4 linked regions of the Callithrix jacchus genome follow. The protein of the gene in region 1 binds, or shares a complex with, the protein of each later gene. Links are inferred from orthologs where the notes say so. Each region holds a gene or a part of one and is shown on either strand. Other genes may lie near its edges. The genes, in order: OS9, HERPUD1, UBE2J1 and FAM8A1.

Evidence for each region.
Region 2: OS9 (region 1) and HERPUD1 share a complex: the UniProt entries of both Homo sapiens proteins name them as parts of the HRD1 complex. The link is inferred for Callithrix jacchus from reciprocal best matches to the Homo sapiens genes OS9 and HERPUD1.
Region 3: OS9 (region 1) and UBE2J1 share a complex: the UniProt entries of both Homo sapiens proteins name them as parts of the HRD1 complex. The link is inferred for Callithrix jacchus from reciprocal best matches to the Homo sapiens genes OS9 and UBE2J1.
Region 4: OS9 (region 1) and FAM8A1 share a complex: the UniProt entries of both Homo sapiens proteins name them as parts of the HRD1 complex. The link is inferred for Callithrix jacchus from reciprocal best matches to the Homo sapiens genes OS9 and FAM8A1.

The regions. Positions count from the first base shown.
Region 1 is NC_133510.1:61,984,611-61,988,069, forward strand, and holds the end of OS9 (protein OS-9), read right to left. Parts: intron 3,173-3,459; coding exon 2,983-3,172; intron 2,054-2,982; coding exon 1,889-2,053; intron 1,747-1,888; coding exon 1,634-1,746; intron 1,357-1,633; coding exon 1,231-1,356; 3' UTR 585-1,230; downstream 1-584. UniProt on the Homo sapiens protein: Lectin component of the HRD1 complex, which functions in endoplasmic reticulum (ER) quality control and ER-associated degradation (ERAD).
Region 2 is NC_133521.1:14,806,609-14,811,254, reverse strand, and holds the start of HERPUD1 (homocysteine-responsive endoplasmic reticulum-resident ubiquitin-like domain member 1 protein), read right to left. Parts: upstream 2,967-4,646; coding exon 2,820-2,966; intron 51-2,819; coding exon 1-50. Other genes in the region: uncharacterized protein LOC118149719, read left to right, coding at 2,965-3,835, 4,045-4,133. UniProt on the Homo sapiens protein: Component of the endoplasmic reticulum quality control (ERQC) system also called ER-associated degradation (ERAD) involved in ubiquitin-dependent degradation of misfolded endoplasmic reticulum proteins.
Region 3 is NC_133505.1:95,402,351-95,406,955, forward strand, and holds the start of UBE2J1 (ubiquitin-conjugating enzyme E2 J1), read right to left. Parts: upstream 3,110-4,605; 5' UTR 2,821-3,109; coding exon 2,790-2,820; intron 1-2,789. UniProt on the Homo sapiens protein: Catalyzes the covalent attachment of ubiquitin to other proteins. Functions in the selective degradation of misfolded membrane proteins from the endoplasmic reticulum (ERAD) and is essential for cells to recover from ER stress.
Region 4 is NC_133505.1:13,151,812-13,156,247, forward strand, and holds the start of FAM8A1 (protein FAM8A1), read right to left. Parts: upstream 3,000-4,436; 5' UTR 2,876-2,999; coding exon 2,164-2,875; intron 732-2,163; coding exon 611-731; intron 1-610. UniProt on the Homo sapiens protein: Plays a role in the assembly of the HRD1 complex, a complex involved in the ubiquitin-proteasome-dependent process of ER-associated degradation (ERAD).

The sequences.
Region 1 (3,459 bases):
AGAAAGATCAGAGTCTTCCACACTGGGAGAAGGCACATGGGAGGACCCATAGCTGCACTTAGTAGTGAGGAAGAGAGGGAGACACCAGGCCCATGTACCCTTGGCATACTAAGAAACTGGCATATGTGGGCAGCAGCCCTCTCTCTGGGTATGGCCAAAGGTGGAGGTGTTTTTGGGAAATGTTGAAAGGACAGGTGGGTAGCGGTTTGGATGGCAAATGGAACCTGGAGCATGCTGCAGGAGAGACTGCAGCAGAAGGAAGATCCCTGACAGGGTAACTCTGTGGTATACATTTTGGCTTTCAGAGTATAAAGGGGTAGAGGATGGGGAAAGACTTGGTGTAAAAGAAGGGAAGAAACAGAAATGGACAGATGAGAAAAGGAAGACGGCAGTACAGCAAGTGTTTCTTTGAATCCTTGCCAGGCCAGGCTTCATTTAGCTGCCCTGGTCTTATCCTGCATACTCCAGCCCCATTTATAGACCCGGGGAGTGGGGAGCAAAGAACAGAACCAGAGCATGATCTGAAAAGAGCACGAGCCTCCTCCCTGCTGGAGCCCCCACCCCAGAAAAAAGGTTGATGGATCGATGGTCCAGTTCTTTATTTAGAAACCTGATTGTTCAAGAACATGGTAGGTGCTTCACACCTTTTTCGCTGGGATTGTGCTGGAGGTGATGGGTAGCATTCTCCCACTTTCTCAGCAACAGAGGTGAAGGCTCCTCAACTCAGAAGGACAAATGGTGTGTGACAGGGTGGGCAGGGAAAAGGAGAAGGAAATCCCAAGGCAATTCAATAGAAGGGGGTAAAGCGACTCCCAACAGCACTAGGGGCAGGTGGGGGCCTGCTTGCTCAGTGCCTGCTCACTGCCCTGCCCTCCTTGCTCTCTCTACCCCACTCCACTCCAAAGATCCTACTGAATCTCCAGGTACGGAGCAGGGAATATCCTATCATTAGGGGACAATAACAGGAAAAGCCACAGAGGAGAGGAAGCGGATTGAGGGAAAGCCCAGGAGAGCAAACATCACAGGCCCGGTGAGGTCTCCAGGTGGCTGCCAGCAGGGGCAACAGCATTCACCCAGGGCCCCCACACCCACAGAGTCACCCGAGAGGTCCGCAGCTCAGCTCCACTCTGCTGTTTGGCCCTCAGGGGTACCAGGGTAGGGAGGTGGGGAGGAGGCAGGCCAGTCCAGGAAGACTCTGGATTCTGTGGAGGGTCAAGTGCAGTGTTGGTCTCAGAAGTCAAATTCATCCAGGTCCCCTGTGCCCTCCCCACCTTGAGAGCCCCACACCCGGCGGTAATTGCTCTCCAGCTCTTTCTGCCGCTGGCGTTCTTTCTGGGCTTCTTCGGCTCCCGGCACCTGGTGGGAGAGGGTAGAGGTGGGCTGGAGCTGCTGGCTGTTGAGCCCAGGGAAGTCCAGGGCCGGGTGGCTGGGGGAAGGCAGGGAGTGAGAACACTCATGTCCTGAGGGGCTCTCCCTGAGTGGCAGCGCTCGGAGCCACTGGAACCCTAGCCTCATCTTATAGATCAGGAAAAGAACAAAGCAACAGCGTGGCTGGGGCAGGCCTGTGCCTCCACTGCAGGCGGGCTGGGGACGCGAGGGCTGGAGGCCAGGCCTGGGGGTAGAAGCCTCTCACCAAGATATTGAAGAAGATCTCCTTGAGGTTTCTTGTGTCCTCATCAGTCAGCCAGCGTGCACCCTCTTCAGCCCCTTCCGCCCATGGGCGGACAATTTTGATCTCAATTTTCCCTGGAAAGGAGCAGTATGCAGTGAGAGGAGAAGATAGCTAGGAGCCTCAGGGCAGGCCCCCTGCCCCGCTGGTCCCAGCCCCTCCGCTTCCGGCAGCTCGCCCTTCCGACAGCGCTGGGTCCAGCCGCCCTCCAGGGCCCACCTGCAGCTGTGAGTCCCTCCCTCTCCAGCAGCTCCTTCACCAGCCCCTCGATTTGTTTCAGCTGTGGGTTTTCCCGTTTCATCTCGAGGACCGTCAGATCCTGATTAGGGCCTCCGAGACGGAGCTTGGTGACCCGGACCCGGACTCTGTGCTCAGGATCCTCCTCTTAGAGGGGGAGACACACAGGGAAACACAAAGCAGAGGCGTGACTCCAGGGTTGGGGTGTGGGGGTCGCCTCCCCCTAAAACATCAGTTGGCTTTGGCAGCTATTCCATCTCAACATGTATATGAGCCAGGGGTCAAAAAACTGTGTGCCTCCCCCATCCAATTCACCCAGTAGAGCTCCCTCCATCAATTGCAGTCTTCCATCTTCCCACCCTACTCAATAATTCTGCCCATCACCTATAGGAAAACAAATGTTTTCTGAAGCCAAAATTAGGCCACCTGCATCAATTAAGTTTCGTTTGAAGAAGCAGGTTGGAAAAGTGCGGTTTCTTCCTCCATATGTTGGGACTTAATGTTTATAGAGAGAATGGGATGGAAGGTTTGAAACTGAACATTCCATTTGGAATATCTGATGTCCACACCAATAGGACCCTATGAAATGGACACAAGGGGATGCAAGAAGAAGAAGTAATTTAAAGTCTATCCAGGCTATTGACTCATGTGCAGCTGGGCTCTCCTATTCATACCCTGATAGCTAGGACCTCACTCGGTGCAAAGTCCTAAATGTTGACAGGCTACATCCTTCACAGTTGTGTGGTTTTCAGCATATAGACTCACAAACATTCAGTTACTATCTACTGATCAGTCAGTGTGTGCCAGGCAGTGTGCTAGGCACTGGCTGTGCAGGAGCAAACCAGGAAACAAGCAGACATGCTCTAAAAGCTGCTTCCCAGAGGGATGAATAGGAGGTAAGCATGCCAAGGGATGACAGTGGTGCGAAGGAGGCGCAAGTGAGGACAGTGTTCCAGAAAGAGGGGAGAGAATGAACACCCTCAGAAGGCAAGGAACAGGGTCCCCTCAAAGAACAAGACCAGCTGAGGGATGAAAACAATGGACTGGGCTACTCCTTCTTGTCTGACTGCTCTCACCTGTAGGTTGGGGTGATGGGGGAGGCTTTTTGGGGACAACCCTCTTTTTCCTGTGCTTCTTCACCAGCTCTGGACTCTGCTTTTCCTCCAGTCTTTTGATGAGTTTGTTGAGAGTGGATGTCAGAGCCAGCATTGCCCGATCCCGCTCTGACTCCTTCTTCAGCCCATCTGGGTCCAGCTCCTTCTCTGTCTGGAATACCCAAGAGAAGATAAACACTCAAGGGTCTGGGGTATGGAGGTGGCCAGCAGGCCAGGCTCTGTAGGAGAGTCTGCTATTTTGTGACGCAGTTTTGTTCTTGTTGCCCAGGCTGGAGTGCAGTGGCACAATCTTGGCTCACTGCAACCTCCGCCTCCCGGGTTCAAGCGAGATGGGATTACAGGCCTCAGCCTCCTGAGGATCTGGGATTACAGGCCTGAGCCGGTGCACCCGGCCAGAGTCTGATATTTAAGTCTTGACCCTCTCTCTGGTCCCCCTTC
Region 2 (4,646 bases), on another chromosome or scaffold:
TGATCCAACAACAGCTTGCCAGAATAAATTAATCTCTGGTCCTCTGGATGCTGACCATGGAAAGAAAGAGTAACAAAGGTCAGCATTTCACTCCCAGAAGTTCTCAAACACTCAAAATAAACTGTTTTATACAAATAATTTGAATATGTATGTTTCACCCCAGCATCACGGGAAAACACTTTTTCAAAGGCTCCATATACAAAACTTCTATTTAGAAAGTACCTAACTTTAACCGGTCTCTAACATGCAAATAAATACAGAATGGCAAATTATCGGCTGGGTACAGTGGCTCATGCCTATACTCCAAGCACTTTGGGAGGCCAAGGTGGGCAGATCACCTTAGGTCAGGAGTTCGAGACCAGAGTGGCCAACATGGTGAAACCCTGCCTCTACTAAAAATGTAAAAATTAGCTGGGCATGGTGGCTTGCACCTGTAATCCAAGCTACTCGGGAGGCTGAGACAGGGGAATTGTACAGAGAGAGACCCTATATCAAAAAAAAAAAAAAAAAAAAAACAGGTAAATTATCTCCAGTCCAAACCTATGTAGGGCAACATACTTCTTAACTCCCATGTAAACTGATTTTCATAACAACAACAAACAGCGAACAGGGCTCCTACAGCAACTGAGTTTGGTTTCAGGAAAAACTCAGAGTACTCCCAAGGCCAGCCTTCACCAAAATCACCTAGCAGTGCCCCAGAATAATATGAAGCTATTCTAAACTTAAGCCTTTATAGAGGATTTCTTGGCATACAAATGCAGTTATAGAGGAAATGGTGTGTGGGTGACATTATATACAACAACCCTGTGAGATTCAGTATCCCTATTTTAAGGGAGGAAAGTCTGAAAAATTTACTTTTCCAAGGTCATCTGCTGCCAGTGTCACAATTCCAAACCCTCTTCTCCTCCATATCAGCGATTTTAATGCCATAGGGACTGCACATTCTTTTATACAAATCTCATTTTAAAAATCTCTTTGAAACTCCCTCTAAACTGTACTTAAAAATAATGGCCTCAAATATTAACATATAATCTGTCTGTCCATTGGAGATCAGCAACGTGTATACCTACTCTTGCCAGCATAACTGATTATGCAAAACCTGGAATAAAGGTGTTCCTGCCAACAGCTTGAGATAATTAAAGCAAGCTGTTTAAAACAAACAAAGCCAAAAGTCCATCTACTTATCCATATACATCAGGACTTTTTGACACTGTAACTAAACCAAAATATACTGAATGCTGGGTTCACCGTTTTTCTCACTGACAGGTGAGAATGTTAAAGGTACATGCTTATATATGAATTTGTAAAACAGTATCTATTAGATATGTATGGCTCTGTGTTTATTAGAGTTCAACCACTAGAAAAGGCTTGAAAACCACAGCTGCCAGTGATTTTGAATTATTTCCACCCTTTTTAAAGGCCTAACTTGACATTGAGTCTTCACTCAAATGGCTGATTTGAGAAAAAATTAAGCACAACTATTACAAAGTAGGGCTTCTCACAGTATACCATTTTCTACCACAGAAAACAAGTGATAAATATGTTTCAGCCATAATAATTTTTAGACACAAATTTGTATACCTGAGAGATATTTATTTACAATCTTAGGTCTTTAGACTGAAGAGATGGGACTGGCGTCCGTCACCAAAGCAAGCCCTTAAGAAAAACCCTTCTCCGAAACCCTGCCTTTTACCATATGATGCAACCATAGGCAACACCTGCTTCACCAATTTGTGTACCCAACAGACATTCTCATGGCAACACAGCCACCCAGTTTCTGGACGCAGCTCTGGTGAAACCGAAAAGTGTACCAGGGTGAATTCCACAGGACATGGAATACACGCGTACTAAATCAATATGCAAATTTCAAAACAACAACTCAGAAGGAAAACTCACTTCTACCTTCTTGACCACATGGAACAAAAACAGACACAGGTGAGTTCCAACCAAAAGTTGGAACTCGGGTTACACGATCTTTTCCTGCCTGGATGCCCTCTCCTGTGTGATAGAGAATTATGCTCGTGGGCAGTGAAGAACACTGCTGACACTTACATAATATCGGAGCAGAAAGTAAATACAGGAAGGGCCAGCTTACAGCCTCATCACGTGGCGGCCAGGGCAGGCGGTGCTAAGGGTGATGTTGACAGATGCGTCAACCAAAACAAAGCAAAGAAGTCTCGCTAATAATGGAGAGGCTGCCGTCCTAAAACCAGACTGAAGGCGACTACTGCCTGCTTCCCTTCTCAGTCGCACTTGGCCAGAAAGTGCACGGGGCTCCTCCCCGGGACTCGGCAACGGCTGCGCGGTCCAGTGCGACAGGGAGGGGCCCGGCGGAAGGTAGACAGGGAGAAGAGCCACGTCCTGCTTCTGGGTGTGGGCCCTTCCGTCCACAGGGTCTGGGTGCTCCCCAGGTTTCTCAAGCCACCGCTCCGGGTGGCACCTGCCCGCTTCTCTCCCGCGGGGAGGTTGCGTTCACAACCCTCATTTTGCAGCACGGATGTTTTCTTACTCCTAGCCGTTGGGTGCAAGCCCAGTTAGGAACCACCGAGTTGCCTGACCGCTGGGGGGAAGCAGGCTTGGAGGGTGAAACGACTCGCCTAAGGTCAGGCTGCTGATTAGTGACGGTCCCTGGGCAAGAGAGGGGCGCCCGCGGCGGCGGGGCAGGGAAGGGGAGACCACAGCCCTGGGGCACGTGACCGACCCGGCGAACGCAGCCGTCTAGGGAAGGCCGGCGGAGGGGGAGGCCACAGGGCAGGGCAGGCGGACGCGGCGGCACTGGGGGCCACAGCCTCGGGGCGGGAAGTCGGGGCGGCTCTCACCGGACGCTCAGGGTAGACGCGGCTCAGATGGGCCTTGAGGTGGCCAACGCTCCAGCTGCGATCGCCGCTCAGCTCCAAGTCGCGGTGGCGCTGGTTGGGGCTCTTCACCAGGAGCGTGACGGGCTCGGGATCGGGCTCGGACTCCATGGCGGCGGCTGTGTCGGGGCTCAGCTGCGCTCCGAGGTGCCAAGAGGCGGTGTCGCACCCGCCCGCAAACTCCGCAACGACTGTTGGCGTCCCTGGGGCACGCGCCCCACTCTCGGGAGCCTTTTATGGGCTCCCCGCGCTCGGCTCTGCGGACAGAACCCTCTGTGGCTGCTGCCCATTGGCTGAGGCGGAGACACTGTCCCAACGTGGCCCAATCGGCGTCCGGATCCGGGAGGCAGAGGGCGGACCAAGCACGTGGGCGCGGGCTGATGCAACCCGCCGCCGCTGCGTCACCCTCAGGCTCGGCTGCGCCCCGGGAACCTGGGTTTGGCGGCCATGTTTGGGTGCGCTGCGGCCCGCGCTAAGCGCGCGAGGGCTTGGCCTGAGACTTGAGGGGCCCCCAGCTCGGGTGACTGAGGGCGCCCGAGGCAGGGGGTGGGAGCGGTGTATCCCAGCAGACCCCAGTTTAGCAGTCTCCTCAAATTGTTTCCTCACAAAGCTGCACCCCCGCCCTTTTTCACCCCAGGTGCCAGTGTCCACTTCTCCTTTTCCTGCCTCAGGTGGCCCCACATGGAAACCTCCCGGGGAAGCCCGTCCTATAGGGGAAGACTCTCCACCTGACCCTCAAAGAACAGCTGGGCAACCCGTTGTGCAAGTCCACCCAGGAGAACGTCACGTGCTCATAGGAAGGACAACGAAGGAGGGAGGCCTGATCTTCCTTGGGCTGGGAGGATGGAGGCATCCAGGCAGCTGTTGCCAATTTCCGTGGGCTTCTGACTTGCACGTTTGGGACATAACCTATATGATGATTGACAAGTCAGCCACAGCCCTGCTCACACTGGGAGTCCCTGCCAAAAGGGCATCACTTTGTAAGATACACATGCACCCTTTAATTGGGGCCGAGACGAGGAGGGCAGGGTTCTCTGATTCCTGAAGTGGGACCACAAAGGCCTCTCTATTGTAGGCATTCCCTCCTCCTCTGTAGGAAAAAAAAAAAAAAAAAAATCTTGAAAAACAAAACTGACATTGCCCCGGCCCCCTCCTTGTTCCAACCCCCTTGGGACGTCTGTTTTTTCAGGTGTCGTCAGGAGCTTGTCAAGGGCAGGAAGGCAACAGAAGGAGCCTGATCTGGTTGGTGGGCCTGTTCATCTGCTGCAGCTGCCATAACAAAGTGCCACAAACTGGATGGGGTAAGACAGGGTCCCCAGCGCCCCGCCAGGCCACGGACCCCTAAGAGTCCCCGACCTGTTAGGAACCAGGTGGCACCGCAGAAGGTGAGCAAAGCTTCATCTGTATTTACAGCTGCTCCCTATTGCTGCGTTACCACCTGAACTCTGCCTCCTGTTAGATCAGGGGATATTAGATTCTCATAGGAGATGGCCCCTATCGTGAACTGTGCATTCGAGGGAACCAGATTGTGCTCGGTACAAGAATTTACTGACTGGTGATGGGAGTGGAGCTGAGGTGGAGATGCTAGTGCTGGGAGTGGCTGCAGATACGACTAACATTAGCAGAGAGGTTTCACTGCACAGAGACCAACATAAATCAATTGCTTGCCGACTCCCCTCAAAACCCTATCAGTGAGTGGCAAGTGACAAGATGCATCTGGTGGCAGACTTTATAGTGGCCAGTGAGTGGTTGTACTTCAGTTGTACAGCTGCATCTGGTGGCCTTCAAAGT
Region 3 (4,605 bases), on another chromosome or scaffold:
CAGAGCAGACCCAAACACGGGTCAGGGAGCTTGATCCACAGACCACTACTGACAGGCTAGTCAGAGGCATATGAGGTGATCCTACACAACAGCTCTAGCCACAATCACAGGTCCATTCCAAAAAATTCATAAAAGAAAAAGTTTCCCACCTATGAAATGAACAGGTTTACTATCCACATGCTAGTGCACTGGCCCTTAACCAGTTATCTGTATTGTCTTCATTTAATCTTTCCACTCATACATCAAAGACAACCCCACATCAGATAAAAAGTAAAGGATTATATCCCTCACACTGTGTGGTGGCTTTTGTTTGGTTGGTTGGCTGGTGTTTTATGTGCGTGTGTGTGTGTGTGCACGCACCCTGCCATACACAGGAGATTGGAATTTTCAGTTGTTTTCCTTCATATAGGCATTACTCTAAAAAATACCACAGGACTGAGAATAAAGCAAAGGAAGGATTTTCAGGATGCCTCCCAGCATTTTCAGTAAGTCTCATATCTCACCTAATTCAACTTCTCTATGAATTCCAAATAATCAACACACTAACAAAAATAGATTTTTAAGAAGCATTGTGGCCGGGCGCGGTGGCTCACGCCTGTAATCCCAGCACTTTGGGAGGCCAAGGCAGGTGGATCACAAGGTCAAGAGATCGAGACCATCCTGGCCAACATGGTGAAACCCCGTCTCTACTAAAAATACAAAAATTAGCTGGGCATGGTGGTGCGTGCCTGTAGTCCCAGCTGCTCAGGGGGCTGAGGCAGGAGAATTGCTTGAACCCAGGAGGCGGAGGTTGCAGTGAGCTGAGGTCACGCCACTGCACTCCAGTCTGGGGCCTGGTGAGGAAGCAAGACTCTGTCTCCAGAAAAAAAAAAAAAAAGAAAAGTAGCATTGTTTTTTAAATCAGCAACACTATCTTTGAGGAAATAAAACCAAAAAAAGGAAGCAATTTATGACAAAGCTAGAAGCATGTCAGCCAAAGCTCAGCCAGTGGATGATAGTTCGCATACTTTGGAAATGTACAAAATTCTGGAGAATTTTAAAAGCTTATCATTGTAGTATTAAGTCTAACCTATTGAAATTGAGTGATGTTTTCTGACAACAATCTCTTGGGTTCCACCAGTTCTCCATTCCAAACTGCACTACTACTCACATGTGGATTATCCTCTGGACCTTTCACTAAGCACCTCTGCTGTCCTAAGGAACCCTGTGAGCAGGGAGCCACCAGATGTTTCTACCCAAATAGTACTAGTTAAATCTACCACAATGTAAATAATTCAATCATACATTAAGCTTTTCTTTCTTCCCCTCTTTCTCTTTGGTCTTTTCTTCCCCCTACCTCCACTCCAGGTTTTTGTTTTGTTTTGTTTTTTTGAGATGGAGTCTTGCTCTGTCGCCCATACTGGAGTGCAATCGCGATCTTGGCTCACTGCAACCTCCACCTCCCAGACTCAAGCCATCTGGGACTACAGGAGTGTGCCACCACCATGCCCGGCTAATTTCTGTATTTTTAGTAGAGACAGGGTTTCCCCATGTTGATCAAGCTGGTCTCGAACTCCAGACCTCAAGTAATTTGTCCCCCACCCCCACAAGCCTCCCAAATGCTGCGATTACAGGCACGTGCCACCATGCCAGGTCTTCATATTTTTTAAGGAGTCAGTGGCCCCTAAAATGTTATGACCAAATCTACACACTTGGTCACCTAAGGACATTTCTAAGCCTGGCAGCACTCAAGCTAACAAAGCTCCCTCAAATCAATATCCTCAGGCTTTTCTGGGATTTTTGCATATTCTGAAACCTTACAAAAACCCCCAGATTCACAATGTCAACTCTTTCCATAAGGATGCTAATTTTGCTAATTCCTACTGAGAAACAGCTTTTTTTGGAAGGAAATTTTAAGCAAAAGCAAGAGTCGGTGAAATCATCATTAATATCCTAGAGTTTGCAGAGTTAACTGTGGAGTTTCTTCCTCCTGGCAAAATTTACCAAGGTACAGATAGAAAAAAATACCATTTAGACGATCCAATGATTCATTTCAAGCCTGTTGTATTAAGCTGAGAACGCTAGTTACTTATCTTTATTATGCACCAGAAAGTAATTAAAGGCTAGGATTGCTGGGACTGCTTGTGTAAATGAAGCAGGATCATTAAATGCAGGAAAAGAATCTCTACGACTGAATATAGATATATTTCATATTAGCCAGTATGGCAAAAATCAAGGTTAGTTCCCATGTACAGGGTTCAACCAGGTATTTTTTGTTTGTTTTGTTTTGTTTTAGTTCTATAGTTAACTGGCTTAGTTACAGAACATTTCCTTTATGTCTGCAATTCTATTCGGCCCAGGTGCCGCAAGTAAGATATTTAAACGACCAACCCCTCAAATGTGAGTAATGCAGCCGGCTAACAGAAGTCCAGTGGCAGTGACCGGGAGGGGATAGCGACGGTGTTCCCGATGCAGGTACAGCAAGGGGTTGTTGACTGTCGCCCACCGACATCACCTTTACACCTGTTCTTAGGGATGAGTTTCTGACCCAGCTCTACGGGACGGGGCGAAGATGGGAAAAGGGAGAGGCCGGGTGCTGCGGCGCGCTAGCCTGCCCGAGGATTAGCAGCGGGCGTTCACCGGGCCACCCCGCCCTGCGGCCTGCACTTCCCGGGCAGGCGGCGGTCTCGCGTAGAGCGCGACACCGGGAGCGGAGCCATGAGTGGCGCCAAACGCTAGGGGACCGCGGCGACCGCCCCGGGGTCCAGGTCACTCTGCCCTCTTCGCCCGGGGGCCCCAGCCTCGCTCACCAGGACTCTTCAGGTTGTAGCGGGTCTCCATGGCGGGTCGCTGGCCTGGCTCCGGCCTCCCGGGCCGCTGCCCGGGTCTCAGCACGGCTCAGGCTGACGCGGTCTGGCCGAGGAGCCTCCGCAGACGCCGCCCAGTCCAGCCCGGACTGCAGGCGGGGTGACGAGGCCGAGTGCGGGCGAGGTGCTGGCTTCGCGATGGCGCCGCCTCCTCCGCTGCACCCCCCGCCTCCCTGAGAGCCGGGCCGGCGCCGGCCGGGCGTCGCTGAACCGGGCGACCGGGCCGGAGATCAGCCTCCTCGGGTAGCCGCAGGCCCAGCCCCGCCGCGGCCGCGGGGCTTGCGTCACCTGCCCTCGTCCGGGTTTTGTGAAGTTGCCTGACGTGGCAGCAGCTTCGTGGCGGTCGGTCACTCCCCAGTCGCCGCCGGCCCCGTAAAGCCGGCTTGGGATCTGCAGGAGCGAGCAGTGTCTTTGTCCCCTCGCCCCGGCCCCCGGAAGCCGAACTTCCCTCTGGCCCTCCGGGGTCCCCAGGCGCTAGGAGCGCCGGCCCTACCCGTTGCAGGAGAGGTCCGGGACCCCCGGGCCCTCGAGAGCTCGGAGGGGGCGCCGGGCTCCGGCTGCAAAGCTGTTCACGCGCGGTCCCGCGGGGTCTGGGAAGGGCTTTGTTTATAGATCCAGTTGCTGTGGCGGGGCAGGGGTGCGGTGGTGGGGGGCGCGGCGAGAAACAGGGGTTAAGTGAGGGGGAGAGGGGAAAGCCAGTGGCGAGGGAATGGAGGAGGATTTTTTTTCCCCCTGTTCAGTCGGAGTCTCGCTCTGTCGCCCAGGCTAGAGTGCAGTGGCGCGATCTTGGCTCATTGCAGCCTCTACCTCCCAGGCTCAAGCGATTCTCCCACCTCAGCCTCTAGAGCGCTGGGACCACAGGTGTGCGCCACCACGCCCGGGTAATTTTTTGTATTTTTGATAGAGACAGGTTTTCACCATGTTGGCCAGGCTAGTCTCTAACTCCTGACCTCAGATTATCTGCCCTTCTCGGCCCCCCAAAGTGCTGGGATTATAGGCGTGAGCCACTGCACTAATCAGAGTTGTATATTAATAATTTTTTTCGAGTAGTGTGTTAGGTGCAAGACACTGTTTTAGGCGTTGCAGAAGTTTGTTTGCTTTTGATTTGTTTAGATTTAAAAGCCGTCAAAAAAAAAGGAATTACATTGAATTGAGAGAAAGCATACAAATATGAAAGATTAAACTTCAAAGAACACACTTCTTGCTTCAGTGTCAAATGTGTGGGATTGAGAGAGGACTATGAGTTCAAAAGACTTGAGAAGGAGTAGGAACCTTAGGACCGGAAAGGAGGGAGGGAATGGGAAGGTGGGGAGGATAGAGAGGATTAATCAGGTTGGGCAAGTGTTATTCTGTTATTTAAAGATACAAAACTCTTAAATTTGATTTGTTTTCTGTTGTTAAATAATCTAAATCCGTGAGTTTCTTAGTGAAATTGGGAGGAAAAAAGTGAAGGATATCTAAAATTAGATGGTATCTTTTAAACCATTCCCCATGTTGTTTTTTGTATAGTAAACTGATAATCTGATTGGCTGAGATATGCGAACAAAACCAAACTTCAGTGCTGCTTCATTCATTCATTGTGTTGGATCTTCGAATTAGCTACCACTTGACATCCTCGCCTGCCACAGCTCCATAAAAGCCCTTAATTTGTGCAATAGGCCCTACCACAGTAAGGCCTGCGAAGCAGATGCTGTATATAATGAGTTCCTATTTGATAGGGGAGTACTAGAAGCCTTTTGCTATTCAGCCTCCAGGTCCA
Region 4 (4,436 bases), on another chromosome or scaffold:
CAGGGACAGGTAAATTGGTTCCTGGCCTAAAGGAATTGTTGAGGCCAGGCACGGTGGCTCACACCTATAATCCAAGCACTTTCAGAGGCCGAGGCGGGCAGATTGCCTCAGCTCAGGAGTTTGTGACAAGCCTGGGCAACACCGTGAAACCCAGTCTCTACTAAAATAAATACAAAAAATTAGCCAGGCATGGTGGCATGAACCTGTAGTGGCCAGCTACTTGGGAGGCTCAGGCAAGAGAATTGCTTGAACCCGGGAGACAGATGTTGCAGTGAGCCAAGATCCCACCATGGCACTCCAACCTGGGCAACAGAGCGAGACTCTTGTCTCAAAAAAAAAAAAAGTTGAATAAAATCAAACCAGGTTTGGAGGCTCTTTTTACCTATTTTTGATAGGCGAGATTCCCACACATCTTACAGAATTCAGTAGAAAATTTTAGTTATTTCTTAAATCAACAAGAAAACCATAAATCTGACAAAGCCCTCATAAAGAAATCATGAGACTGACAAGCTCATTATCCATATAGTCTCGTGCAGACAAACAGAATTTAACAAAACAATAGTTTTAAACAGTAGAAATAAAAACCTTTCTGCAAATGTCCTCAACTTACTTTATCCCACTGAGGTGCATAATACTTAAGACAATGGTTGCTTTTATAAAGAAGAGAATAAAGAAATCCACCATCTCTGCCATAAATCTGTGAGCCAAGGAGGGAATAACATATTCTCTGCCTGTAAATTTAAAAAAAAAAAAAAAAGAAGTTAGGAAAATCCAATCATTTCACATAAGCCTTGGAACACAAGCCATATAATGAATTGGTAAAGTCAAGGTACAACTTAATAAGAAATATAGCCTTGCAGCAACTATTGATATTGATTCCACCAAGAATCCATGTTATTAGAGTAACAGTACCCCACTATTTACTGAACTTAAAGTTTGCTTTCCTAACTTTAACGTTTAAAATTTGATTTCACACAGCTGGATGCAGTGACTCACATCTGTAATACCAGTACTTTGGGAGGCCAAGGCAGGCAGATTGCTCGAAGCCAGGAGTTCGAGACTGGTCTGGCCCTGGCCAACATGGCGAAACCCCGTCTCAACAAAATATTAAAAAATAAGCCGGGCATGATGGCACATGCCTATATTCCCAGCTACTAGGGAAGCTGAGGTGGCAGGATGGCTTGAACCTGGTAGGCGGAGGTTGCAGCGAGCCAAGATCGCGCCACTGCACTATCCAGCCTGGGCGATAGAGCCAAACCTCGTCCTCCACACCTCCTCCCCCCGCCCCCAGAAGTGATTTAACAGACAAATCTGATTCGAGTACCCAATACATTTCACTAAGAACTCTACTGAGAATCCGAGTGATCACATCTAAGTGACTGAAAATTGATTTTAGTACAAATCAAGGTTATACATTAGCAATTAGTATAAAGTAAATCCCTGTAACCTCTCCTGTGTGTTTAGTTTGTTTTGCTTTCTCTAAAATAAACCCAATGAATATCAATCTGTCATGCTAAATTCTGCTGGGATAAGAGGCATCACGTAGTTCTTGTCCCTTCTATCTGTGGCTAAATAAAATAAACGAAAAGTGTAATAGCTTAAATAGTAAACTAATTCAAAATATTCTAGTTCACACACAGAAGCAAAAACAATTACACAATGTACAAGATCAATAAGCCAGGGCTTCTCGATCAAATGAAGTGAAGCTTTGACCCAATCAAAGCTTCGTAACTCCACTGGTATCCATGTCAATCTCCTTTTATGTCCGTTCAGTTCCACTGTCCTAAGTAGCCAATGTCTGAATAATTTCCAGCATTAACAGTTGAGCACCTCCAAAAGTGAGTTTGCCATCTGCGAGTTTAGCTTTGGACCTCACTCTGCACAGCGTGAAAACCAAAGGAAGAGCAATTTTTTTCACGTAGAAACAACTAGTCCCCATGAGTAGGGGAATCAATTCGGAGTGCCAGGTCTAAAGGAAGAAGAAACTGTTGCCTCCTTGTACATTTTGGGGATTTAGGGCCTGGACAAACGATAGCTAGTGCACGGGCAGGATCGCTAATTGGAGTAGCAGCAGCAGCAGTGACAGGTCTAAAAAGCGTGCCAGCTCTACCCACAGGCCCCTGAAGACCCTTCTACGCCCAGCCTCCTGCTCGCTGGTCTCACCTGCCTGCTGCCTGGTCTCGCTCGGGCTTCGAGAAGGGGCTGCAGATCCTACCCTCGTCACTGGAGTGGCCCGGGCCGACGACTGCACTTGAGGAGCCCGGGGTCCCAGGTTCGCGACTGGAGCAGGGGTGCTGAGGCCGGCAGCTGTCCCCGGGTCGGGCCCCGCAGGCCCGGGGCTCACGAAGTAGAAGGGGTTGTAATAGCCCAGCTGCGGGGCCGGCGGCAGCCCCGCGGCCTGGGGGATGGCAGCGCCGCCCGAGGGGAAGCTCTGCGGAGACGGCTGGGGGCTGCAGTAGGCGGGGAGGGCGGCCAGGCCGCTGTGCCAGGTGAGGTAGCCGCAGTAGGACTGCCACAGCCACTCGTGCACTTGCCGGGAGTACTCACGGGCGCTCAGCCGCGCCTGTCTCTCCCGCGGCGCCGCGGCCTCGGGCGCCTCGCAGCCCGCCTGCTCCGGCGGCCCAGCACCGGAGCCGGAGGCCGCCTCCCCACGCTTCCCAAGCTCGCGCGGGGGCTCTGATTCGTAAGCGGCGGCAGCTGCGAGGCCCGGAGCTGTGGGCCGGCCCGGGGCCTGGGGTTCGTCCTGGGGGTCGTCGCGGGGGCATGGGACGGCGGCGGTAGGAGGCCCTCTCAGGGAAGGGACGGGCTCGTGGTCCCCCCCGCCTTCGTCTTGCCCAGGAGGGCGGCCTCGGGCTTCCTCGGGCCCCTCTGCCATCGTCGTCTCAGCAGCACCCACCGCGGTACCTGTCACTGCTCGGTCTTCCTCCCCAAATTACCCCTCCCCAACAGTCCGTCGCCAACGCCGCAGCCGCAGCCGCAGGCGTAGGCGTCAACAATCCCCGGCCGGAAGCGGAAGCCCCGCCCCTCAGGAGCGACGCCCGCCGCCGGGCGGAGCTGGGAAAAGAGGGCGGGGAAGTGCGGCTGCAGTCCCCGGTTCGGTCCCTGGTAGTAGCTGGCTGGTCGGCTGGGACCAGACCGTCGTGGGCCCCCGCCCCCGTGTCGTGGCTTTAAGTCTGTGGCCTGAGGACTCTCTGTATATTCCCGTGGGGTAGGACCTAGGTTGTCCTGGGAGAAACAGCAGAGGGATAAGAAGCATTTCCGAGACGGGTCTCAGGGCCAGCGCGGCGTTTTCTGTTGCAGAACTGCGACTGTTGTTTTGGGCTCCAGGCTAGTGCTTGGTTGCTTGTGTTCATTCCAGTTAACCATTAGTACTCGAGAAGGTGGCACAGAACGCATCTATACCTTTAGAGGATAAGAAATTAAACCAGGCCGGGCGCGGTGGCTCAAGCCTGTAATCCCAGCACTTTGGGAGGCCGAGGCGGGTGGATCACGAGGTCAACAAATTGAGACCATCCTGGTCAACATGGTGAAACCCCGTCTCTACTTAAAAAAAAAAAAAAAAAAAAAAAAAATTAGCTGGTCATGGTGGGGCGTGCCTGTAATCCCAGCTACTCAGGAGGCTGAGGCAGGAGAAATGCCTGAACCCAGGAGGCGGAGGTTGCGGTGAGATCGCGCCATTGCACTCCAGCCTGGGTAACGAGCGAAACTCCGTCTCAAAAAAAAAAAAAGAAAAGAAAGAAAAAGAAATTAAACTAAACCGGTACATATATTAATATATATAATTTTTTTTATAGTTTTGTTTTTGTATCTTGAGACGGAGTCTCACTCTGTCGCCCAGGCTAGAGTGCAGTAGCACCATCTCGGCTCACTGCCAGCCTCTGCCTCCTGGGTTCAAATTGTTCTTCTGTCTCAGCCTTCCGAGTGGCTAAGATTACAGATGTGTGCCGTGACACCTGGGTAATTTTTGTATTTTTAGTAGAGACGGGGTTTCACCATGTTGGTCAGGCTGGTCTCGAACTCCTGACCTCGTGATCCAGCCACCTCGGCCTCCCAAAGTGCTGGAATTACAGGCGTGAGCCACTGTGCCCGTCCAGGAAAGTATATTGAAATGTAAGTAGTGAGGTGCTATATATATATTTCAGAGGAAGGGGAAATTATGCATGGACTAGAGTACTAACAAAAGGCTCTAAAGCCTGGGATATGCTCAGGGCCTTTCCATAACAGAAAATGAAAAGGCACCTAAATTTGAGACTGGATTTGAGGAAAGGCACAGTTCGGCTGGAGTAGAAAGCTTGTGTTTACCACAGTGGAAAGTAAATTTTCATAAATGCAGACTAGCTACAGGATGAGGACAGAATCCAGCTTTTAAATCAGTATAATCCCTCTTCTTTTACATTTGAAAATCTCTGCAGTGATATGTCCGTGTTATCCCCAGC